Danio rerio: one gene and its partners. The protein of the gene in region 7 interacts with the protein of the main gene of each other region in a biochemical or structural test. Links are inferred from orthologs where the notes say so. Each region holds a gene or a part of one and is shown on either strand. Other genes may lie near its edges.

Region 1 (3,059 bases), on a different chromosome or scaffold from region 7:
AGTTGCGACTTAAGCCATAGATTAGCTCAGCAACTGTCTCTGCCAGCTTATGGAATGGTTCCTTGGTTTCACTATGCCAAGATGAGAACAACACATCCCTCTTTATAAAATTTCAGCAGATGGAAAACCATCCAGTGCTGAAAAATCTATTGAAGTGTGCATTTTAAGAAGTGCAAGCACATAGTGCTTTTTGTTCCAGCTGCTTAAATGATGCAACCAGTTTTTGTCAACGAAGCTTGCATTGATCCTGCAATGGTAGTAGTTTTTCAGTCAGATCTCTAGAGAGTGCATGATCAAGGTCTCAGATCTGCTTTGCTTTGATCCCCCCCCCTCTTTCCAGGTCTGTTGAGGTTGGCTGGAGGCCCAGTCATTATGGATTTTGGGTTTGAAAATGCTCACCTCCCCCTTCCAAGGGGTTCAGGTGCGTCTGTATCTCTCACGCGAGCCCTACAGGGCCTGCCTCAACATGAAGTCATAAACAGCACTTAATGGAAGAAAGGAAAGAGAAGAGGAAGATAAAGGGGGTAGAGTGCTCATTGTTTACAAGGCCCGATCTGTAACTCACCGTGGTGGTCCATCTGACCGACATAAATACACACAAGCAATGGCTTTCAAATTTACCATTGGGAAGGCACATTTTTCTGTACGGAGAACAACAGCTCTGATTAGGAGGCCTGTTTGCTAAAGTTAGGCTGTGATATTGAGTGTGTGTGGGTCATCAGTGTGGGACAGCTGACTGGAGTCTCCTAAATTCCAGAAATGCCTTTTGAACTCTGAGTCCCCCAGGGTTGTGGTCAGAAAGGGTCTTAGTTTGTATTTGTATATTTGTATACATATATATGTACACACACGTGTATATGTTTGTGTGACCGGCTTACAGCTGTTAACTCCAAAGAATGGAGCATCCGCCTAGCTGTCTGTCACCCAGGAACCACCAATTGACCTGACCTCCAGTTGACCCCTTCACACCCGCACCAGTGGAGAGTGTATCCTGTGACTCATATGTTTGAAAGACAGCAGCTTGTGGTGTATTCTTAACATTAGCCTTCTTGTGTTGGCAGTTGTGCAGTTGGTAAAACACTAAGGGATCGCTTGTGGTCAGAGGGGGGTGATTTAGTTTTAATGTTTATCTTTATCCATGTGTCCCATAGGAACCCTGTACTAAGCGTGTGCGGCCTCTTGGCCGAGTGACCTCGCTGGCGAACCTCATCTCTCCCGTGAAGAATGGGGCCGTCCGACGCTTCGGCCAGACCCTCCAGGCCTCATTCCGGGGTGACGGGCGGTCTCCGGGCGTGCCCCAGCAGAAGCCATGCAGTAAGGCTGCAGCTCCCACACCACCGAAGCGCCGGAACAGCACGCTCTGGTCAGAGACCCTAGACGTCCACCAGAAAGGAACGTTTTCCACCAAAGAGATTAAGAGACAAGAGGTGAGTACAGCCGGAGCAAGAGAATCCAGACAGCACTGAAAAACCTAGACTATTAAATCCACTCTCCGTCCCCTGCCAGACGCTACTGAATCAGGCCTGTGTGACTTATTAAACCCAAAGGGCCTGGGGCTTGGAAAGAGCCCTGTTCCTCCTCTCTGTTTTTATTCTCTCTCACACTACCTCTCTCGTCTGGCCTTGTTTTTTTGGCGTGTGTTCTTGGCACACAGTTGAATCGAGCTGAAAAAGTGCGGCTGAATTCTGGCATCTCAGAGTCAGACATCCAGTGCTAACACAGACTGGCTGGTCTGACGCACTAAGCCCCTACCTCTCATTCATAACTACAGCTAGTAATGAGACATTTCAGCAAACTGTGAGCCCCTCAAACATTTCCCACCAAAGAGAGAAACAGACTGAATCTCAGAGCCTTGACTAAAAATATCCAAACAGTTTTCTTGGTTATGAATGTAACCATTCGTTTTCTGTCTCTCCAGGCAATTTTTGAGTTGTCTCGAGGGGAACAGGACCTGATTGAAGACCTGAAGTTAGCCCGAAAGGTTTGTACATTCTTTTTTTTTGTTAGAACATTCAAAGCAAACAGGCTTAAGCTCTTGGCTGCACTTTAGGAGTTGGACTCTTTGGCCTTCTTCCGTCCTCCATTTATAGCCAAAAGTTTCTGGCTGTAAAATTAGAAGCTGTGCTTATTATTTTTATCATTTTGTGTGTCCAGGCATACCATGACCCAATGCTGAAACTTTCTATTATGTCTGAAGAGGAGTTAACAGCCATCTTTGGAGATTTGGATGCTTACATTCCCCTTCATGAAGGTAAATAACCTACCATATTTACATGACACACCTAATTACTGCGTGAGATAACAAGTAGTGTTAACGTACTTTTTTTTTTACCCTATCAGATCTTCTTGATCAATTGGCAAAGGCCACAGGTACGGATGGCACAGTGAGACAGATCGGCAAGATTGTTGTTGACTGGGTAAGCATCTTTTCGTTGTTCATTATTATGAGGCAAATTAATTGTGGTTCATTCGGAATGTTAAAACTCTCACTTTCCACCACAGCTGCCAAGGTTAAATGCATACAGAGCATACTGTAGCAACCAACTAGCTGCCAAAGCCCTCCTCGATCAGAAGAAACAGGACCCAAGAGTTCAAGACTTCCTGCAGCGCTGCCTTGAGTCACCTTTCAGCAGGAAACTAGACTTATGGAGCTTCCTGGACATCCCTCGCTCACGTTTGGTCAAATACCCTCTTCTTCTGAAAGAGATTTTAAGACACACACCACCAGATCACCCAGACAAAGGAAGTCTTGAGCAAGCGGTAAGAGCAAGCACCGATCTAACAACTGCAGGCCTTCAGATACACTTGTTTTGGGGACATTCGGTTTTAATATTGCCTTCGTTCTTTGTCTCCAGATAAGTGTCATTCAAGCAGTGCTGGCTGACATAAACATGAAGAAAGGGGAGTCAGAATGTCAATACTATATCGATAAGCTGGAATATTTGGAAGACAAGCAGAAAGACCCACGCATTGAGCAGTGCAAGAGCTTGCTTTGCCATGGGGAACTTCGCAACAAAAGTGGCACGGTGAGTTTAACATCCATCACAGTCTAAACCGCT
Region 2 (3,967 bases), on a different chromosome or scaffold from region 7:
ACTGATCTTTCATAAAGAATGTGTTGTTTCATTTGAAGAAGGTTGTTTTCTTTTATGAGAGAAACAAAAAAAATCAACCACTTGAAAATTCTCGGTTTCTCTGGATGTACTAGGTGTGGGATTCAGGAAAATGGTGATTGTTTTAATGTATGATGGTCTGATTGTCGGGACTCTTTTGTTTTGGTCTTGTTAATTCTCCAGTCTTTAATGCAGTGCTCGGCTCAAGTGTATACCACAGTGGGAGATGAAAGTATTTTGAGGTACATTTGACCTGATGTCAAATGTATGGTGGAGTTCTGCCAGTGTGCTTTTCACCTTACATACTGGCAGATTCACTATGCACCTGCCTCCTGAGAATGTCAGCAGTGACCACTCGCTCCCCCAGTGTACCCTTCAGTACCGAAGGGCCCTCTGTTGTTGGCTATAGCCCTATAGTGCAACTAGTTTCAGCTTCAGCTCAAGAGTTCCCCCCAGTGTCTGCGTCAACCCCAGAGTGCCCTCAATGTCGACGTCAGTCCTAGAGTGCCCGCCGAGGTTGGCTTCAGTCCCTGAGTGCCCTCAGTATCGGCTTTAACCCAGAGTGCCCCCAGTGTCTGCTTCAGCCCCAGAGTGCCCTCAGTGTTGGCTTTAGCCCCAGAGTGCCCTCAGTGTCTGCTTCAGCCCCAGAGTGCCCTCAGTGTTGGCTTTAGCCCCAGAGTGCCCTCAGTGTTGGCTTTAGCCCCAGAGTGCCCTCAGTGTTGGCTTTAGCCCCAGAGTGCCACCAGTGTTGGCTTCAGTCCCTGAGTGCCCTCAGTGTCGGCTTTAACCCAGAGTGCCCCCAGTGTCCGCTTCAGCCCCAGAGTGCCCTCAGTGTTGGCTTTAGCCCCAGAGTGCCCTCAGTGTTGGCTTTAGCCCCAGAGTGCCCTCAGTGTTGGCTTTAGCCCCAGAGTGCCACTAGTGTTGGCTTCAGTCTCTGAGTGCCCTTAGTGTCGGCTTTAACCCAGAGTGCCCCCAGTGTCTGCTTCAGCCCCAGAGTGCCCTCAGTGTTGGCTTTAGCCCCAGAGTGCCCTCAGTGTTGGCTTTAGCCCCAGAGTGCCCTCAGTGTTGGCTTTAGCCCCAGAGTGCCACCAGTGTTGGCTTCAGTCCCTGAGTGCCCTTAGTGTCGGCTTTAACCCAGAGTGCCCCCAGTGTCTGCTTCAGCCCCAGAGTGCCCTCAGTGTTGGCTTTAGCCCCAGAGTGCCCTCAGTGTTGGCTTTAGCCCCAGAGTGCCACCAGTGTTGGCTTCAGTCCCTGAGTACCCTCAGTGTCGGCTTCAACCCAGAGTGCCCCCAGTGTCTGCTTCAGCCTCAGAGTGCTCTTAGTGCTGGCTTCAGCCCCAGAGTGCCTCACAGTGTTGACCTCAGCTCCAGAGTGCCCTCGGTTTTGGCTTCAGCCCAAGAGTGCTCCCCAGTGTCTGCTTCAACCCCAGAGCGCCCTCAGTGTTGGCTTCAGCCCCAGAGTGCTCCCCAGTGTTGGCTTTAGCCCCAGAGTGCCCTTAGTGTTGGCTTCAGCCCCAGAGTGCCCTCAGAGTTGACTTCAGCCATCAGAGTGCCCTCAGTGTCGGCCTCAACCCCAGAGTGCCCTCAATGTTGGCATCAGTCCCAGAGTGCCCTAAGTGTTGGCTTCAGCCCCAGAGTGCCCCAAAGTGTTGACTTTAGCTCCAGAGTGCTTTCAGTGTTGGCTTCAGCCCCAGAGTGCCCCAGGGTGTTGGCTTCAGCTCCAGAGTGCCCCCAGTGTTGGCTTCAGCTCCAGAGTGCCCTCATTGTTGGCTTCAGCCTCAGAGAGCCCTCATTATTGGCTTTAGCTCCAGAGTGCCCCCCAGTGTTGACTTTAGCCTCAGAGTTCATGCAGTGTCTGCTTTGGTTCCAGAGTGCCCCCCAGTGTTGGCTTCAGCCCCAGAGTGCCCTCCAGTGTTGCCTTCAGCCTCAAAGGGCCCCTGAGTATCCACTTCAGGCCCAGAGCCCCCCCCCCCCCGATGTTGGTTTCAGACCAAGGGTGCCCCATAGTGTTGACTTCAGCCCCAGAGTTCCAGAGCATCCACTAGTGTCAGCTTCAGCCCTACGTGCTGTTAGGCTGGTTTTAGCTGGTCAACCAGGCTGGTTTTAGAGGGGTTTTGGCCCCTTTCAGGCTGGTTACCAGCCATTTCCAGCCTGGTCTTAGTTGGTCAGGCTGGAAAATGACCAGCCTTAACCAGCTAAAACCAGCTTGACCAGCCTGGTTTAAGTTGGACATAGCTGGTTTTGGCTGGATAAGCTGGTTTTAGCTGGTCACCTCCCAGCCTGACTAGCTAAGACCAGGCTGGAAATGGCTGGAAACCAGCCTGGAAGTGGCAAAAGTCTAGGCTGGTTTAAGCTGTTTTTTCCAGTAAATAAACAATTTTATTGAACATGTAATTTTTTATGTCTGTTCAAAAAGTAAGGGTTAAAGTGAAGGATTAACCAGTGTATCATGTATTTACAGTATAACGTTACCGATATTAGCAGTTAATATGTGGTTTTGCTGTAGTCACCATGTCTTGTAAGGGAAGTTTGAAATCCTGTGTCGCTCAAATCCACCCATATGAGACACTGCCAGCTGAGAGAGGACTGAACATCCACCTCAACTCGCAGACATGCAGAATTGACGCTTTACTCCACCATCTCCATCCTAATCTGCCACAGGAATGAAGACCTTGACGATTCATTTAACACGAGGTAAACATTCAGAGTTTTATTTGTAAAACTCGACGTGAGACGGATTGACACTTCTCCGTGACGTCATTCTCACTCGGCTAACATCAGCTAGCAGCTTTACCCATTCAAACACCTTTAGTTGTGTTTAGTTAATTTAACAACTTTCGTATACATTCGGGTGGTGTTATCTGACATGTTAGCTTGAGCTTCGTGCAGACTCGAGGACTGTTTTCGTCTCTGCAAGCAGTGGAGGTGTTATGAAAATAAACGATAGTTAGCTTGTTAGCTAACTAACAGCTGAATAATAATAACGCGTCTTTGTTTACACATGCACTCATTAATGCGTTTAAAAAGTACTTAGATGTTTTACAGCTAACGTTACTATTAACGCAGACTTTGTTTAGTCACACGTTGTTTGGTTTGTAATGTTTTATTTAAGCTAATTAAACTTTGACAGCTATGTTATTTCAGTAAAACTTGACGTATTTAGATGAAGTTATTATATTTACACAATATTTAGTATTATAAATAAATCACATTAGCAGCCAATGACTAGGAAAGTACACCATGCTAGTGTGATTTTAATGTCACTTTGCATGCGAATTCAGACCCAATATTCAAAGTAACGTGGTAAACAAGTACGTTTAATATATAAGTTGTCACTGAACGAATGTGGAAATACAAAACCAACCATACCTCAATATGTCACCTGTATTGTGTTTTTATTGGCTTTTCACTTAAGATAAAGTGCTTTAAACAGGGTTTCTGCTTGGTTTTTAAATGTCTTTAATCTCAAAATTTAAATGTTATGCCGTAAAAGTCTTAAAATAACTGAAATATTGTGTTTTAGGTCTTAAATCTTTTTTTAAACCGGTCTTAATTTTCCTTTGTTCATTTATAGCTACCAAATCTGGCCAAAACCCATACAATCACCAACAATCATCTCAATAAAACTTTTTATTTATAGAATATAATTTTAACTCTATTTACCGGTTTAATTATATTCCTAACAATAACATTCGTTTAAAAGATCTCTATCTATTTACTGCTGAGGAAAGCGACCTGGACAGATTGTTGTATATATTTAGTTTATTCATTCATTCATTTTTTTTTTGGCTTAGTCCCTTTATTAATCTGGGGTCGCCACAGCGGAACGAACCGCCAACTTATCCAGCATATGCCATTCCACCCCCAACCCATCTGTGAGAAACATCCACATTCACACACTCATACACCACAGACAATTTAGCCTACCCAATTCACCTGTACCGCATGTC
Region 3 (2,883 bases), on a different chromosome or scaffold from region 7:
CCTATAGTCCAGATCAGCAATATTTCTCATTAGTTTGCATAATTTACAGATGATTTCTTTTGTCTTTGTTTTTTTAATTGGTTTTTGAAAATCCCCAAAATGCTAAATGGTTAATGAATGATCTTTACTATATACGTCTATGTAAATGTATAACTTTGTCTGGAATACTTCATTCTTCATGGTCAGACATCACAACATTCCAAAGTATATTATTTCTAGATATGGTAGTATTAGCAACTTCACCGGTAGAGCATGCCTGTCATCCCGCTGTTCTTGACTATATGGCGGCATCTTGTGAGTGAATAATACAAGTAGCCTGCGCAGTCGTCAGCAAGACGAAGAAACCGCTAGATGTACATTTCTTGCTCTTTGCTAACATTTGGAAATGTTTTATTACATAATATTACTTAACATGTAGGAAATGTATATATTTTACTGTCTTCATACAGTAGATCAATATTTAAACTGCAATCTGTGCAACTAAACAATCTTAAGCAAGCTGAAGTTCACAGACAGTTTATTTCAAATTTGACTGCAGTTACAGTATGATCGAGAGCATGTCTGAAATCAGCAGAGTACATAAGACCTTATGCAACATGACTCATTTTAAACAGAAACATATTTACAACGTGACAAAGATCTCAAACAGTAAAATCCCTAGAGGTAAACATACAGCAAGGGAACCAAAAATAAATCAAATTCTGAGTTTCTCTCAATTTCTTAGTAAAAGTAGGGTTCAGGAAAATGTTAATATTTGTTTTATTCAATAAAAGATCTGATAACATTTCTTCCAGGTGTTTTTCCTTCCACCCCCCCCCCCCCCACAAAAAAAAAAAAAACAGTCCGAATAACAATTATTATGACTTGATTTGAATGAAAATCAGGGTTATTCCAGCATATATTGCTTTTTTAACCATTCTGAAGTTAAAAATGGCCATTAGAGTATGAAAACATGGCACCTTTTCAATTATTTTTTGTAAAAAGATCCTCTAAATGTCATCAGTTCACAGCATGAAATAAAACAAAAATGATGTTCTTTTCCTCAAACACACAACTCAGACTCGGAGAAACAGAATTTTCAGCATTCGTCGTTGACAGGAATGCAACTGAGCATTTAATCGATTACAATTACCTCAGTGTTTTGCTTGGAAAGCTGGCTGTTTGACTCCAGCACCTGCACAATGTGAGCTGCTGAGGGTCTTTTCTGAGGGTCCTCCTCTGTGCAGAGACAGAAGAGCTCCACCATCCTCTGATAAGAGCCTCCCAGAGTCACTGCGTCCAGAGCCGGTCGAGACCCCAGCCGCTCATAATATGCATCTTCATCAAAATCCTCCTCAAATGACTCGTCTATTTAAAAAGAAGAGAGAGACATGTAACCCTGTGTGCTGTTGGGGATGTTTTCATCCACTCTAAGCTGATTTTGAGTCTTAATTTGGTCACAACTTGCTCTGTTTCAGCAAATAGAATGACTTTTGGTGACAAATCTTGGGACTAATGCTTTGAAAATGTTCAAAAAGTCAACAAGTCGGGGCAAATTAGCTACCCTTTCGTTATGTTGGTGATTGTTTTTTGCCCCTTTGACTTCCATTATAATCAGATTTTTTGATTGCAAAGCCATCACAGCATATTATCAGTCTTAATTGTTGGTGGTATTTTCTGTTGGGAAGAGCTAAAATTGGTAATTTCTACTGTGGATCATCAGTTGCAGAGCAAAAACAGCTCAGTTTCTGACTTAATTATATAAAGTATAGTGTTTGTGTTTTTGTATGTAGTGCAGTGAACATGTCAACCTGGATAAATGTATATAAATAGTTATATAGACATGTATTTTGACGGAAAAGGGCATCAGCTGGTGGTGAATTTTGAGAAGAAACGTGACAACTGCTGGAGTGTGCAGGATGAGTGTCATGCTGAGAAATATGTGGGGTCACCATTAATTGAAGCTGCTGGAGGTTATTTGTAAAACACTGACACACATATAGTTATATCTGTGTATAAAACTATAAAGAATGGACAGAACAGACAATTTAGATCGTCCTGGGAAGATACTAGAGACAGGTCTGCTTATAGATGTCTGCTTTTTTGGAGAATATTTCAATAAAATAGATTCTTCTGATAATCAGAACCTCCAGACTGAGTTTGATTCATTCTTGAAACAGCTGGAAACCACAACAGTGTGTGTGCGTGTGTGCATGTGAGAGACCTTTGTCCACTTACCACGATATGTCTGAGAAAATAAAAAAACAAGCAGCTCAGGTCTCAGAATAAAGTAAACATTGTGAGTGTATTTATGCATGCACAATGTAATTTGTGGTTTTTACTCCACAGAACTCGTATAACATATAAAAGCCAGAAACCTTTTTTTACCCATGACTATCAAAAAGGTTAATGGTACGAACTGATGATCAACGATACAAATAAAAGGTTTCACCTCTTCTCAACAGGGATAAACAACAACAATCAAGAATAGATGACTAATATCATAGCTCTGCAATGCCAAAAATCTGATTATGATGGAAGTCAATGGGGCAAAAATAGCCACGAACATAACGAAAGAGTAGTCAATTTGAACAATATACAAGGGTTAAAGATCAGTAAAAGCATACTGAGGCTAAGCACTAGATGAGAGATTAGAAACAGTAAGTTTACCATCATCATCTTCATCACCCTCAGTGTCCAGCATCTCCAGGTGAGGAACAGAAAGCGTCATCATTTCCCACAGTGTGAGTCCATAGGCAAAGATATCAGCTTTATCTGTGATTACTCCATCCTCCAAAGCTTCTTTGGGCTTCCACGGCTCCGTCCCAATGTAATGAGCCTTTGGATCACTCACTGAAGAAAGATAGCTTAACTTGATCACTCAAAACAGGTGGAAGAGGCAAA
Region 4 (4,069 bases), on a different chromosome or scaffold from region 7:
AAACACAATCGGTAGATGACAAAAATATCAAGTGGACATGTTTGTTAATCTGACTGTGAAAGAGTCAGTGACTCACCAGCCACAAACCTAACCGCACATCACTGTTTAAGGCGGCACTCATGTCTCATCACAAAGGGGCAAACAAAACTGACATTTTATCGGTTATCTCTCTCTTTTAGTATTTTAAAGTGAGATTTTGAAAACCAGATTTAAATTTAGCAGGAACGGTCTGGTCGGGGAAAAAAGGGGCAGGGTGGGCAGCGGGTGAACATTGGCTGAATATACAGCGGGAGCGGTCAGGCGCGGAGTAAAACCTGGCGGCAGCAGAATACAAAATTCGGTTCCCATACAGATCTCTAGTTCCAACCAATAGCCACTAGACTCAAGGAAATATATAAGCTGTCTATTCATTTCCTTCGTTTGGTTGTAGATACTGATGTGGACGTTCATCCACCATCCTCCCCAACACCACCAGGTTGGCCCTGTCTTGGAAGGGTAAGCTCCGCCCCTGCCTTCATCCTCGGCAGCCATAGCTGAATTTACAAACTTTCAATTCAAGTCAAATGTTAACCATCAAATAAATGTAATTCAATATCATTTTCATCTCCCTGGTCTTTCTGGAAAGGATCCTTTCTTTTTACTGAAGCTGCATTTATTTGATCAAAAAAATACAAAAAAGTTTACAATTTTACAATAAGAATAGTTTTTATTTTTAAAGTCCAGCTTGTGAAAAAACTGCCAGCAAGAACATCGTTTTTTTATGCTTTTAACACCTGCATTAATAATGGCATTATCAGTACTGTATATTTAAATAGTAAAAACAAGTTTTAGTAGCAGCGTGCTTGATTTAATTGTAGTTTCACATTATGTAAGTTCCATTTCTCGGAGAACAGTGTAATAATCAATAAACTGTACTTTTTTTCAGGGTCACATGATCCTTCAGGAACATTCTAACTGGCTAATTTAATGTTTAAGAAAAGGTGTTGTCATTAAAAATGCTGAAAGCACAATTTATTTAATTTAGAAAGCTTTTGTATCACAAAAAAAAAAACTCTGTCATTTTTATTCGGGCTGCACAATATATCGTTTTAGCATTGATATCGCAATGTGTGCCTTCCCAATAGTCACATCGCAATATCTGCAATATTGAGTTGGGATTAAAGCTTATGAGTACAGCCAGACAGAATCTGCAGACATTTTTGGTAAGTAATCTGCAGATTTATGCCGAATTATTTTGGGAGTATCATGACTAAAAACTTAATAAATAAAATAAAAAATAATGTTTTTTTTTTTTACTTTTATTTAATATTTACAACGCAAATCCATCTAGATCCACTTATTTGGTAAATAAAGCAAGTATCTCATATAATATCTCTACTAAAATACAGAAAATATTACATTACAAACTGTTTTGTAAATAAATCAAAAAACACTTTCATACTAGTCAGTAATATTACTGAAATTAATTTAAAAACAACACATAAATTTTCACGCACTTACACAATTAAATGAACAGACTCAAGGATGGGCTCAAAATCTGCAGACTTCTGCACGTGCAGATTCCGTGCAGGCCTATTTACAGGCAATGAAGACTGTACAGTGTTACTTTATACTACATTTGATTATTCAATTACTGAATATCTGAATATTGTTAGACTCCAGAAAACACTTCTTTTTTCACTTTTAACAATGCTCTACCTTATTTATGCTTGCAATTTGTTGGATTCACCGTACTGCAACAAAACGATTTCAATCAATCTAAATCCATACAAAACAGAGCTATTCAAGCCATCTGCTAAATTGTATTAATTCAATATATATCGTAAAAAAAAAATTACAATTTCAGATTTTTTCAATATCACGCAGCTCTAATTTTTATACTAAAAACATAAAAGTCCAAAATGTTTAAAGGTTAGTAAACCATATTTTTTTAGCCTAGATGTAAAAGTCTAAATTGCTATTTTGAGCTGGGATTACTTTCCTTTTATTTTGAAATTCTGAATAATATTAATATCTTTATTGTCACTCTCAATGTTTTTATTTAAACCACAGAAGTGCACATTTATTGGAATGATAGTGTAATAAATATTCTATTCTATTCTATAGTCATATTTCAAATAATATTCATTTCTCTAAATCTGAAGACTGGTTAATGCTTACACACACACAAATAAACATGCTTTGATTTCCCAGAATATTTGTTTAATGCTCCTTTTCCTTGAAAATCCCTCTGTCACGATCCCAGCCCCCCTGTTGCTTCATATTCTAACCCTTCTCAGCCAGAACAATGTCGAAACGCTGGATTATTCAACCAACGTACCGGTTCATTTCCCCAGGAGTAACTCAAGGCGTCTCCATCAAAGCCACAATGGCACTGAATCATCAAATATGCTGTGTGTGTATGTGTGTGTGTGTGTGTGTGTGTGTGTATGTGTGACTCACCTGGGCGTCTGTGGGGGCGGAGCTCTGATCTGGCTGCTGCGGCTGCACAGACGTCGCACTGATCGTCACATTCTTGTCTGAGCGGCTGCTGCTGTCGCGGCTGTGAGGCTTGTGTCGATCCCTGCTGCTGCGCTCACTGCACGACAGAGACACACATAGCGACGGAGGTGAGGAAAACGCACTCGCCATGCTGAACAGAGCAGGGAAACACATTCAAACTAACGACAGGATGGCCATCATCATCATTATCATCATTGCTCATTATCATCATCATCCTCCTCTGGTTTCCTCTATCCACGTCTCACACATGTCCTGGCTGGAGCATCTGGTGTAAACTGGGTTAGATGCAGTGAGCTGTGACGACCCTAATCCAAGCACAGCTTTCTCTCGCTCTCTCTCTCTCTCTCTCGCTCAGTCTTTTTTGTCATAGCTAATGTCTGTAAGCCTTAGAATAAAGCAAAGCAGATGAACACATGCAGAGGAAATACAAAGCTACTGCACACACATACTGTATTATATCAAACAGCAGCAGACAAACTGTAGACAACTCGTATTAGCAATGCTTGACATTAGCAAAGAACTCATAAGTATCTTATTGACTTGACATACTTTAGGTAAACACTGTCTGTTTAACTAGATGACATAAATGTAATACTTGGCAAGTGACTGTTTACATAATTGCTTGTTACTTTTGCTGTGCACACAAATGAAGCAACCTAGCAGTCAAGCTTGCAAATATTATCTATTTGGAAAGCTCTACATAAATGTGAACTGATTTCATTTGGTTATAGAGTTGAGAACTAGATTTGCCATTGCCTGGTGTTGTAAATGAGGGCGATGCCAACCCTCTTGTGCACCACCAGATGGAACCATCGCCAGAATTCTGATTCGACTCACGGACTCAAAATCCCATAAGCCCTGCTACCTGGCACTGATTACGGTCCAGGTGCAACTCATCAGCTTTCGTGTATATATACCACACTCACACTCCGGTTCGTTGCGAAGTCTTGATTTGCCTGGCTGTCATTTCTGAGCGTTCCATACTCCCTGCTTCGGACTGATCTGTGTTTCTGACCCTGTGCTTGTTCTACGATTACGAAAGACATCTGCCTGCCCCTGATCTCCAGCCTGTTATTCTGACCAGTAAGATATCTGCCTGCCTTTGAACTTTTGCCTGTCCCACGTTCTGTCTCCTGGATTGCCCCTTTGTGTTTGTTTGTATGTGTGCTCTTAATAAAGCTTGCAAATGGATTCAATGCCTTCTGACTCAGCACAACAGAAGACTTCGCCACTACAGAATCCAGCAGCTTTAGCACAAGTCTCGACTGAACTTTCCGCTCAAGCCACTCAGTTAGCCACCCATCATCAACAACTCACCCATCTAACTTCTCTCACGGAGGAACTGGTGAGAGCTATGCAGCAACTCCGTCATCCGAATCCTGCAGTTACCCCGCCTGCTACCATGACAGCTTCTCAACCAACGCATGTCTCCAATGCTCCGGCTACCGTAAGTCCCCGATTAGCTTTTCCTGAAAAGTTTGATGGGTCACCTTCTCGCTGCAAAGGCTTCTTATTGCAATGCAAACTATTTGTTAACCAACAACCTGCATTATATCCCACTGATTCT
Region 5 (3,500 bases), on a different chromosome or scaffold from region 7:
TTCACATTTGTATACAAAATCTGCATATCAACTTTTTTAAAAACAAAATGCAAAGCAGAAATATGTTCATATATATTTCTCACCTTCTTGTCTCTGGTCCTAACTTCATCGTAGAAGTCCAGAGCCTCTTGTGCTTTTTTGAATTTGCCTCGGTGTAACAAGTACGCACAAATCATGACACCCGTTCTTCCCTTTCCAGCTTTGCAGTGAATGGCAGCCACATGATTGTCATTTTCACTGAGCCATTTATCCAAATCTTCACAGAAAGGTTTAATGAGCTCTAGCTGAGGAGGATTGTGATCCTCAAATGGATACTGTGCAACTGCAAAAGATAAATAAAGAGATCATTGAGAGACCATCAACGTTACCACACAAAAACTGACATTTATGCAATCCAAGCCTCTTACCTCTGCAGTTAAATTTGGCAGTATCGTAATGTCTTTCTGCACATCTAAACAACACAAAGTAAAGCAGATAAGTACACAAGTTCAACATAATACTTTTCTGCTTAGAACTTTGCACCAATGCCAAAACCAACAGAACAATCGGAGTTAAGTAAGGGATCTATGTGCAATGACAAAGCCCTCCATTCACAACGATCAAACAGCCGCCTTAATCTTCAAGTGAACATGATTGCAGCTTTCAGAACATTCTAGCAGTAAAAGCAGTTTGATGAAACCCATTTACAAAACCGATATCACAGAACTGAAGTTTTTGAAACACACTTACAGGTTATATATCTTGTAATGATCTTTATGCTTTGAATCAAGAAACCTGCAAAACAAGATAGAACAAAAGCATGTTATAGATTTTAATTAAAGGAATAGTTCATCCAACAAAAGCTCAACAAAAAAACAAAAAAAAACAAATGAAGGTATTTTAATGGAACTGGATTTCTGTTCTTTCATTGAAAGTCCTTCAAAATAGTTATGCTTAAATGTAATCAATCCGAATCAAGTGCTTTAAAGCAAGTCTCCTGAAATGGACTTGATGGACAGATTTCATTTAGGTTTTTATTCACTTACAAATACTGATTAACACCTTACTGGTTCATATGGAAGATCAAATGTGCTAGTGGGACATGAGACCAAGCCTCATTAATTCTCACGTCAATCAAGTACAATTGAGAGTCAAGTTTACAATATTTACAACATATGTCAGATGATCAATTGTTATATGTTAATAAAATCCTTAATTTATAACTTCATGTCTCTTCAGAAGATTAAAACTGATTTGCTTTTAAAAGTTAGCTATGGATGTAACAATACAATTTCTTTTAAACAAAATTTTATTTTACACCATTACTTTTAGGGATCCACAATATTACAGGAAATGGAACATCATCAGCATTGGTCAACTATGTCTCAAAATGTACATTTGAAAAAATCACGCTAATATGCCTTGCCGATATGTGTTGAGTATATGCCTGCAACAGCATGCATGTGCAAGAAGTGCTTGCCTTAAATCGGAGATGCCCAAAGTAGGGCCTGCGGGCCAAAGTTGGCCCATTGTAACATTTGATTTGGCTCACCATCCCATCTTGGAAGAGGGTAAAGTGATGGAGAGGGTTGTTTTATTGCTGAGCTACAAAAAAGCTAATTAAACTCAAATAATTAAAATGTACATAAGGACTAAGCCGAAGACATCAGTAAGCAAATCAAGGCAAAAACTACTGTAACTCAATTCTGTTATAAATTAGTAGTTTTTACGGTAGTAACTTCATTATAAAATGTAAAAAAATTATACTGTATTATTTAATATAAAGCAATGTTTTCTAGTAATATTTAATTCTTTTAAATACATTTTTAAATTACCCAAGGCGATTCTATTTACATTCAGCCCATTAGCATCAAACAAGTTTGGTTTTTGGCCCTTTCTCAAAAAAAGTTTGGGCAACCCTGCCTTAAAGAATGTAATATGATAAGTTAAGTTTGTTTTATATTATTCAAAAGCATATGTGCACCACACATCCTAAAAAAAGTGAAGTCAAAACATTGTGTGTCCTTGGTGGCGGGATATCTGTCCTGAATCGGATGAGTGTTCTACTCAAAACAAATCAAATCACACTTCTAATCACTTGTTCCCAGAGAGGACTTGCCATTTTATGTACATTCAGATGTTCATTTTTCTAATATATTCATTGAGTTACATGCTGCTATACAAATTAGCTGTGCGCTTTCAGTGAGATTTTTGTTTTGTGCTCCTGCCACTTACGATCACTACTGCACAGATTTGGGCATTTAAGCAAAGAAATGACAGCAGCCAGGCTGGAACAATTTAGCTATATTGAAAGAAGTAGAGCCTTTTTTGGGGGTGTGGGGGGGTCTAGCAGTATTCAGGTACAAAAATTTAACAATTTAATGTAAAATAACATGGTATGTATAAACCATTTAACAATAATAGTATTTAATAATATCTTTATTTGTTTTAAATAATCCAATCCTGCGATGTGACTATTGCAGATACATGCATTGCAATATCGCTACTCAACTGATTTATCCTTCAACCCTACCCCCAAGACATTCAATCATCTTTGGAATATAAATTACGATATGAAATCTGACAGCTCCCTCGTCCTGCATTGACAGCAAGCTCCATTGACCACTTTCAAAAAGAAAACCTTGAAATCCAGAAAGGTACCAAAAATTTCTTCAAAACAGACCATATGCCTTCAGCAGTTCAACTAGAATTTTAACAAGCTATGAGAATCCTTTTGTGCACAAAAAAAAAAAAAAAAAAAACATTAGTCAAAGATTCTTGTCCTCAGTGTCAGTATATTGTGCATGTTTATTGGCACTGTACACGGATGTGACCTAACAAATTGCCCTATACTGACACTGAGAAAAAGAAAATGTTCAATAAAGTTGTTATTTTCAATTTATACGTGTACAAATGTATTTTCAAAGCTTGCTAATATTTCGATTGAGGCATATAATGCATATGCTCAGTTTTTAGGTATTTTCTTGGACTTTGCTGTTTGTGGAGGATAAGGAAGCTCTTAGATTTCATTTAAAATATCTTTGAGTTCTATAGATGAATGAAGGTCTCAGTGGTTTGAGAGTAATTCATGATATAATTTTCAATTTTTTGTGAACAAAGCTTTTAAAACAAAATACCAGGTGTTTTGGAAACAAAAATTTGAATTTTTATTATCTGCAAAGCTACAACACTCAATTTTCAATTTTACTATGCTGTCATTCTTTGCATTGGGAATCGACAGAAAGGAGTAAAGATGAAAAAAAGTTAATGTGAACTTCTATCTGTGTTCATTGCGTGTTCTCATTATTGTATTTAATTTGTAGATAAAGTTCTATGGTTTTGCATAAAAGGTACTTTATCTTGTTGGGGTTTATTGTGGTTTTTAACTCGTGTTACTTGCTACCAGGTGTCTGTTAGATAATGCATGAGTAGAAAAGACTATAAATTGAAACTTAAAGTGGTTAAAAGAAAAGGCTCTGGCTGTGGCAAAATATCATACGCTATGCATTGGTATTTCTTCC
Region 6 (4,300 bases), on a different chromosome or scaffold from region 7:
TAGTGTATATATCTATGGTGGGCAATTTCAGCGGTTAGAGTGTTAAGAGTCCAGGGGTGGCCAATCCTGTTCCTGGAGAGCTACCTTCCTGCAGATTTCAGTTGCTACCCATATCAAACACACCTGAACCAATTAATTAGGACCTGAACACCACCTGATAATTACAGGCAGGTGTGTTGATTATGGGTTGCAACTGAAATCTGCAGGAAGGTAGCTCTCCAGGAACAGGATTGGCCACCCCTGGTACAGACGGTTCTACACTTAAATATTTACCCGGAAATAGCAAACCATCCGGGAATCTCTGGCATACTCTTTTCAACATACTGTGGTTTGGGACATACTCATTCTATTTTCAAATACTATTTAGGACGCATAGTATGCCGATTGGGACGCAGAACAATCTTCATGTAAAGCAACACACCCCTAAATCAACAACCTGTGTACACGCCCCCCCAAAATAACACTTTTTAACACATTCTAATAAAAAGATCTGAATTGTGTTTTGAACTGAACCTAAACTGGCACACTCAGAAGAACCATAATATTAATATTAAGTATTGAAAAAGGGGTAAACTAGGTGCCCTTTAAACAATATTTTTAGCGTGTTTTCGATGCAGGTTTAGACTTTTTATTAGTGATTGATTCCTCACCAAAACAATGAATGAATATTCGAAAATAGTCTAAACATTTGTTGTTGTCCTTTAAAGATGCACATGAAAGAATGATGCACCGGTTGCGTGCCAAGCTGTTAATGTGCAGACATTTCCACACCCCTAAACATGATGCGGCACTAAATGAAACGTGATTGGTTTGTTAACATGTCAGTCTTATAGCATCATGGGCATTCATTGACCATTCAAAGTGGCCAAAGCTCCCAGCCATCAGTCTGAGGTCTGGCTACACAAGACTACTGAATGACTAATTCAAACAATTCATTCGAAGCAGACGATTCATTTCAAAACGAAGTGACAAAGTAATCTTCATTATCTTTTAAACATCACACACTGAGATACATTTTAATTAACAATTTATTAAAACATGCAGATTTATGTTGTAAAGCTATCGTTCATGACAAGTTTGTTGTTTTATATTGATTTTATATAGTTTATCACTAGTTTGTTGTATTTAGTAAGCATAAAACTGTTAGCTTAGTCCATAATTCCACCTAACATTTTGTCAGTGCAGTCCTCATTGGACTTAGTGGAATACATATGAGTGATGACACTGCACGATTGCACTTTTCATTCAGATGAACTGCCCAAGAAAACCAGTTCACAAAAGTGAATCAGTCTTGCCATCACTAATGTGCAAAACATCCATACATAATCCAAAGATTTAAAGCTTAAAAACTTCATAAATGGCAGGGCCCCACTGTGCTGGCATTTACAAGAATAAAATCCGAAATCCACTTTAGAAGTCTTTAAAATCCCCACCCACCTCCACACCGGATTTACCGAGAGTCTCCTGTCAGTCAGAGCCCAGGGTTTATATAGAGGAGAGACTAGAGGCGAAAAAACCAGCAGCAAGCCATGCTATTTACCATGATGAGCGAGAAACAGTAATAAATTGTAACTTATTGGAGTCATCTGACATTGCTGCGCACCACCACATGCACAGGTCTGTCAGAGAGATCATTCTATCGCTTCCAGCGGATACCAAAAGTCGGCCTTGGCCATTTTAAGCGCACACCCCAAACTCCCCGAAAAAGCACATAACATGCCAATGCAGTGTAAAGACAGCCGAATCTCTGAGGAACACGTCTTACTGCATCATGATGCATTGTCCCTGCAATCTTTACATACTGTAATTGTGGACTGCTCAAAGCAAATCACCGCACAGCAGCAATTACATGGTGCACAGCAGCAAACCTGCATTCAATCTAAACTCTGGTCAATATGATGAGGCAGCTGAAACTGCAACCACACTCCCATTACAGTCCAAACAGAGACAGACTGCTTCTGCTGGAGATAGAAGCTGGGCTTGAATGATCAAGAGCAGGAGTTATTCTGAGAGAGATGTTGCTTAATTATGCATAAAGAAAAGTGTCTAAGAGGTGGTCCCGGTGACAGCATCTAGCGGTTATAATGGAGACCAGCCTACCTCACAGTGAATGCTGTGGGATACTGGGCTGTAGCACATGTCACAAGGATGGAAATGAATGCAACTAACTAATGTAACGTGCAATGCACTGCCCAGGTTAGGAGATGATGACCAGATGGAGTAAATGCGCCATGCAGGGACAGATGATGGACCAGAGATGATGATGATGATGATGGGAGGTGTAGGAATGTCCATTATAGGTACACCTGCTCAAGTTATTCAGCATCATGCATTGAACAAGGCCACCAGTTATCAATTATGTAAGCATAACTATTGTACTATTGCATATTTTCTGCACAGTCCATCGCTGCAAGGAAGGAAGGAAGGAAGGAAGGAAGGAAGGAAGGAAGGCAAATGAAATGAGCTTCGACGGGAAAGCAAACAGTTTCTCCGCTTGTGCGGTGAACACAGCGTCTATTACAGCTCAGATTTGAAAAGGACTGACGGCGAGATCTACCGATAAATGACAAGCAGCGATGAATTCCCGCCGCCAGCGCGCGCCAGATGTTAGAAACGCTCCGTTGGAGCGACGCGAATTCACCAGGACTTACCGCAAAAACGCCGAAATGCGAATTAGTCGTGGAGACGATTAAATCCATTGGTAAGAGAAACCCGGGATGACATTCTTTCCAAAGGTGTTTTCAGGCGATGAACGGGCGGCTCCGGCTTGGTCTCGCGCGCTTCCATGGGCAAGAGGGTCAGAGCGCGTGACGTAGACGCTCCACATAGAGAGATGCCGTTTCAGGGCATTTAAATGTGTTGCCATGTAGTCGAACGGGAGTTCATTCGGAAAAAACGGAGTTCCCGTCGAATTCCGTGGAAAATACGTTTACACCGCGAAAACAACAACCCCTTAAATGGTCACATGAGTGACCATCTGCTCGTAGTGCGCATAAACGCCCACAAATTCGTTACTTTGAATTGGTTGATGTATGCGTTTAGTCTTCTATTGGTCGGATTTAAGAGGATTGGGGTTACACAAAGTCCACACAACTTTGGGGAAGACTCGCCGGCGCATCATAAATATTTTGTACGACAATAAAAATACGATTTTCCAAAGGGGGTCTTTCGACGCGTATATTAGGCAACATTGCCATCGTGTGGATAAAGGGCATCTCCCTCTGGGCTTCCTTCATGGGAACATTTTGGAGTACAAATAGTTTTCTTTTTATCACATAAAGGTTTATTTGTAAATAAACAATTAGGAAAACAGAGAAAATTAGGATATTCCTGGAAATAGGCTACCCCTCACATCACGTAATAGTTAAAAAGGTGCTGGATATACTCTGGACACCCTCTGCTTTAGTCATCAGGATTTTGCACCTCATCTTTTAGCTTCAAGGAAAGCCTCTCATGTTTTGCCAACTAGTCAAACATACCGAGCCTTGGACCTATTAGAAGCTATTCAAAGTCCAGCATTCAGAGCTGTTGTGAGAACCTGTGGGACTATTAGTAATTTCAGGCGTCTCTGCCCACTGTTTGTACCTTTCTTTCCAAATCCAGTTGGATTCACACAAAAAATGAACACGTTATGGCAAGCTGTGTTAACAATTAGGATATAATCTTACTAGTATAGTACATGCATAGGTCCTACATGTATTTTTCATGCTACGAGTTAGAGAACATTCATTCATTCATTTTCTTTTTGGCTTAGTCGCTTTATTAATCTCGGGTCGCCACAGTGGAATGAACCACCAAACTTATCCAGCATATGTTTTACGCAGCGGATGCCCTTCCAGCTGCAACCCATCACTGGGAAGAATTAGATAACAGTATTAAATTATTAGATACTAGTACCTATTAAATAAACACTAGTAGCCTACTTATTTATTAAGCCCAGGACACACCAAGCCAAAGAACTAGCAGTGATGAAAACCGCCTGCATTGTCAATTTTTTCTATCATATAGAAAATTAACAGTATGACAAAGACACTAGCATATTTTTTTTATGAAATGTTAAAGCGGCTTGACACTCATATGATAAGATATAGATTCCAAATAAATTCCATAAATAAATAAAAAAAGGTCATTTATATAAGGGAAGTTCATCCTTTCCAGCTGTAGCAAGTCCACATCTGGTGCTTAGCAGATGTTGAACATCCATGTGACTCACTGTAGACTAATTACAGAGTCTGAAAGCTAAATGCCCAAGTCAAGGGTGGTATAATGATTGAGTAGGACTGTCAGTAACTCCACAGTT
Region 7 (3,500 bases):
CACAGTAAGGCTGTGGAGGCGTTGAAGGAGGCAGGCTCGCTGGTCAGACTGTATGTCAGGAGGAGAAAATCTGCCTCAGAAAAAGTCATGGAGATCAAGCTCATCAAAGGACCCAAAGGTAAAGAAACTCTGGATCTTATTATGTTGGATGTTCTAGAGTGTACATGTTCATTTAAGATTATACATATCCTAATGTAAGGTCAGTTTTAATGTAATTGGTTATCTCTGAGTTTATACTTAGATACTGAAGCCCAGGCCTGAGTTCCCCATCAGAAGAGAGGAAAAAGCTGAGGTTACATTCTGGAGAAGTGTTGATTAGTTTAACGCTTTTTCCAAGCACGTTTCTGCGGTATACAGGTCTTGACTTCTCGACTCGCATCAAGTTAACTTAGGGTTGTCTAATTAAGGAAAAATGTTAAATGAATGCCTATTTGTGTGTTTAGGTTAAGATATTGATTGGTTGAAGCACAGGATGAGATCGCAAGATCTTTGTGTTTGTTTGAACCTGAAATGTTTACCATTAGGAGATGAAAGTACAGCTGGGAAAATAAGTATTGAACACATCCCTATTTTTTTCAGAAAACATATTTCTAAAGGTGCCGTTGTTTTGAAATTTTCACTGGATGTTGCTTATAAATCCAAATAAACCCATATATGCAAAGAAAACAAATCTAAATAGTTTACAAATGAAATTATGTGTAATAAAAAGAATTGATGCTTAACCCTTCTGGCTAGGCGATTAATTCTTCTGAACTGGAAGAGCCCTCACCCTCCTTCTCACTCTTTTTGGATAAGAAATGTTCTTTATTTTATGAAATTAGAAAAAATGAGGTACTCTCTTCACCAAACTAGCACTATTTTTATTAAATTGTGGGAACCCCTTCGCAAATATGTCCAAACTCTTCAGCTCTACCCTGCTCCTTCTGATTGAGTCCCCACCCCCTAATGCCCAGCTTTTACGGGAAACTATTTCTGGTCAACACATTGTAGACTTGTTTTTTATGTATATAAGTTTGCACTAGTGTTGTTGTTTTTTATTTTATTTATCTATTTATTTTTATCATCTTATTTTTATTTATTATTATTTATTTATTTTTATTATTATTATTTGCTCAAAATACTCTTCAGTGTATTTGCTTATTGTTACATGTTTATGTCTTTGTAAATTTTTGTAATGTTTCACAATGTATTAATAAAACATAAAAAAAATAGAATTGACGCAGAAAAAAAGTTTTGAACACATGAAGAAAGGGAGGTGTAGAAAGGCAGTAGTAGCCCAGACAGCGGCTCATTGTAAATGAATATCAGCTGCTTCAGTCCAACATCTACATTAGCAGGATGATGAAGATGGCACCAGGGTGGACATTTCAGCAAGACAATGATCTAAAACAGTGGTTCTCAAACTTTTTTCATCAAGTACCACCTCAGAAAAAAAGGTCTCTCCAAGTACCACCATAATGAGCAGTATTAAAATACAGTAGCGTAGTAAGCCCAGTAAAGCAGCTACAGCTCTGTACAGTTCAAAATGTGTCAGATTAATTCCTATTATTAAGAATAGTTATTATTGTCAGCCACTTTAAACATTATAAATAGTCTAAACGTTAACACTGTACTGTGTTTACAGGTAAAAAACAAACAAAAAATGTCAACATTTAAATTAAAATGTGGTTCTAAAATGGTAGGTTACTGTTCTTAAAAAGTAAAAAAGTGCTGTACTTAAATGTAAAGTATTTACATATAGTAGTCAATTCATCAACACCTGAAAATGTTGCCTGGACCTCAGAAATATAGGCTATGTATCACATGATAAATATTATTATATGTCATATTCATATATAAATCATTTTTGATACATTTTGAAATATATATATATAGCATGTACATATGACATATTTGATTCCTCCGCGTACCACTAGAAGGAAGTACAAGTACCACAGTTTGAGAACCACTGATCTAAAACACAGCCAGGGAAACTCTCAAATGCTTTCAGAGAAAGAAAATCAAGCTGTAGAATGGCCCAGCCAATCACCTGACCTGAACCCAATATAGAAAATACAAAATAAATCTCAGATTTGAAAGACAAGACCCACCGAACCCTCAGGATTTCTACACTATGTTAAAGTCTGTGAAGAACTCGCACCTGAGCAATGCATGTGACTTCATTCTCCATATGAGAGGCGTCTTGAAGTTGTCATCATTAAAGAAGCCTTTTATATAAAGCATTAAGTACGTTTCAGTAGCTCAGTACTTTATTCTTGTGTCTTTTCATTGTTATTACACAAAGGGTTTAAAGGTTTTTTAAGGTTTAAAACTAAGCTAATCCTGTATAAAGCGTTGCATGTGAAAAGAAAGAAAAGGCCTGTGAGCATCAGGCTACGGCAGCTGGATTAGTTCAAAAAGGCGCAGTACTTTTTGCGGTTGGGTCTGTTTTAGTTTGGATCATGTTCTCACCACAAACAACCGCTTCAGGGTTTGTTTGAAAGCGTACCAAGATCAAGATGTCTCGGTACGCATTTTTGTTCCACTTTTGATGCACACTCGAGTGCAATTGCTACATTCACACCTGCCCAAACGAAATGCAACAAGAGGGAAATCGAACTCAAGTGCGTTTCAGCAGAACTAAATAAGGCAGGTGTAAAAACACCCTTAGATTAACAACCAATGCATAAAATAAATGTAATTTATCACACATGTTTGTGATGCATGCAGTTGAAGTCAAAATTATTCGCCCCCCTGTTTTTTTTTCCCCCTAATTTCTGTTTAACTGAGAGAAGATTATTTTCAAACCATTTCCAATTATAATAGTTTTAATAATAATAACTGATTTATTTTATCTTCTCCATGATGACAGTAAATAATATTTGACTAGATATTTTTCAAGACACTTCTATACAGTTTAAAGTGACATTTAAAGGCTTAATAAGGTTAATTACGTTAACTAGGCAGGTTAGAGTAAGTAGGCAAGTTATTGTATATCGATGGTTTGTTCTGTAGATTATCGAAAAAAATATATAGCTTAAAGGGGCTAATAGTTTTGTCCTTAAAATGGTGTTTAAAAAATTTAAAACTGCTTTTGTTCTAGCCAAAATAAATTAAATAAGACTTTCTCCAAAAGAAAAAATATTATCAGACATACTGTAAAAATTCCCTTGCTCTATTAAACATCATTTGGGAAATATTTAAAAAAGAAAAATAAATTTCAAAGGGGGGCGAATAATTCTGACTTCAACTGTATATTGCATATACTGCTATCATGCCAATGATACTTTTACAGTATATTGTGGAGCCCTAGCAGATATACAGCTAGTTCTGTAGTCTTTGTATGTGTTTGAGCTGGGTTTGACAATGGCACACTTGGCATTGCTGGAGGATCTGGCAACAGCATGTCTGCAGAAAGTGGCACACGACTTAAGAGTATTTTGCAGAAAGCCCTTATTTGGAAACGGAGTGGGTGTGTTTTATGCAAATGACCCACATAATGCACTCGGCTGCTCATTTGT

What was found.
Region 1: the proteins of dlg1b (region 7) and net1 form a complex in vitro, tested with the Homo sapiens proteins (3 studies listed by BioGRID and IntAct, with this or other methods). The link is inferred for Danio rerio from reciprocal best matches to the Homo sapiens genes DLG1 and NET1.
Region 2: the proteins of dlg1b (region 7) and cysltr2b interact in a test that uses a peptide from one of them, tested with the Homo sapiens proteins (2 studies listed by IntAct, with this or other methods). The link is inferred for Danio rerio from reciprocal best matches to the Homo sapiens genes DLG1 and CYSLTR2.
Region 3: the proteins of dlg1b (region 7) and pbk form a complex in vitro, tested with the Homo sapiens proteins (2 studies listed by BioGRID and IntAct, with this or other methods). The link is inferred for Danio rerio from reciprocal best matches to the Homo sapiens genes DLG1 and PBK.
Region 4: the proteins of dlg1b (region 7) and vangl1 interact in a test that uses a peptide from one of them, tested with the Homo sapiens proteins (2 studies listed by IntAct, with this or other methods). The link is inferred for Danio rerio from reciprocal best matches to the Homo sapiens genes DLG1 and VANGL1.
Region 5: the proteins of dlg1b (region 7) and ptenb form a complex in vitro, tested with the Homo sapiens proteins (2 studies listed by BioGRID and IntAct, with this or other methods). The link is inferred for Danio rerio from reciprocal best matches to the Homo sapiens genes DLG1 and PTEN.
Region 6: the proteins of dlg1b (region 7) and pkp4 interact in a test that uses a peptide from one of them, tested with the Homo sapiens proteins (2 studies listed by IntAct, with this or other methods). The link is inferred for Danio rerio from reciprocal best matches to the Homo sapiens genes DLG1 and PKP4.

The regions. Positions count from the first base shown.
Region 1 is NC_133179.1:12,146,762-12,149,820, reverse strand, and holds part of net1 (neuroepithelial cell-transforming gene 1 protein), read left to right. Parts: intron 1-1,151; coding exon 1,152-1,427; intron 1,428-1,918; coding exon 1,919-1,981; intron 1,982-2,154; coding exon 2,155-2,251; intron 2,252-2,340; coding exon 2,341-2,417; intron 2,418-2,502; coding exon 2,503-2,760; intron 2,761-2,855; coding exon 2,856-3,026; exon of another isoform or gene 3,027-3,059. UniProt on the Homo sapiens protein: Acts as a guanine nucleotide exchange factor (GEF) for RhoA GTPase. May be involved in activation of the SAPK/JNK pathway Stimulates genotoxic stress-induced RHOB activity in breast cancer cells leading to their cell death.
Region 2 is NC_133190.1:3,203,655-3,207,621, forward strand, and holds the start of cysltr2b (cysteinyl leukotriene receptor 2), read right to left. Parts: upstream 2,801-3,967; 5' UTR 2,528-2,800; intron 1-2,527. UniProt on the Homo sapiens protein: Receptor for cysteinyl leukotrienes. The response is mediated via a G-protein that activates a phosphatidylinositol-calcium second messenger system.
Region 3 is NC_133195.1:42,642,316-42,645,198, forward strand, and holds the end of pbk (lymphokine-activated killer T-cell-originated protein kinase homolog), read right to left. Parts: intron 2,833-2,883; coding exon 2,650-2,832; intron 1,348-2,649; coding exon 1,115-1,347; 3' UTR 501-1,114; downstream 1-500. UniProt on the Homo sapiens protein: Phosphorylates MAP kinase p38. Seems to be active only in mitosis. May also play a role in the activation of lymphoid cells.
Region 4 is NC_133184.1:34,712,173-34,716,241, reverse strand, and holds the start of vangl1 (vang-like protein 1), read right to left. Parts: upstream 2,801-4,069; 5' UTR 2,656-2,800; coding exon 2,443-2,655; intron 1-2,442.
Region 5 is NC_133187.1:19,011,133-19,014,632, forward strand, and holds part of ptenb (phosphatidylinositol 3,4,5-trisphosphate 3-phosphatase and dual-specificity protein phosphatase PTEN), read right to left. Parts: intron 775-3,500; coding exon 730-774; intron 452-729; coding exon 408-451; intron 323-407; coding exon 84-322; intron 1-83. UniProt on the Homo sapiens protein: Dual-specificity protein phosphatase, dephosphorylating tyrosine-, serine- and threonine-phosphorylated proteins.
Region 6 is NC_133181.1:13,256,592-13,260,891, forward strand, and holds the start of pkp4 (plakophilin-4), read right to left. Parts: upstream 2,801-4,300; 5' UTR 2,652-2,800; exon of another isoform or gene 2,401-2,651; intron 2,301-2,400; exon of another isoform or gene 1,492-2,300; intron 1-1,491. UniProt on the Homo sapiens protein: Plays a role as a regulator of Rho activity during cytokinesis. May play a role in junctional plaques.
Region 7 is NC_133177.1:5,236,410-5,239,909, reverse strand, and holds part of dlg1b (discs large homolog 1-like protein), read left to right. Parts: coding exon 1-118; intron 119-3,500. UniProt on the Homo sapiens protein: Essential multidomain scaffolding protein required for normal development. Recruits channels, receptors and signaling molecules to discrete plasma membrane domains in polarized cells.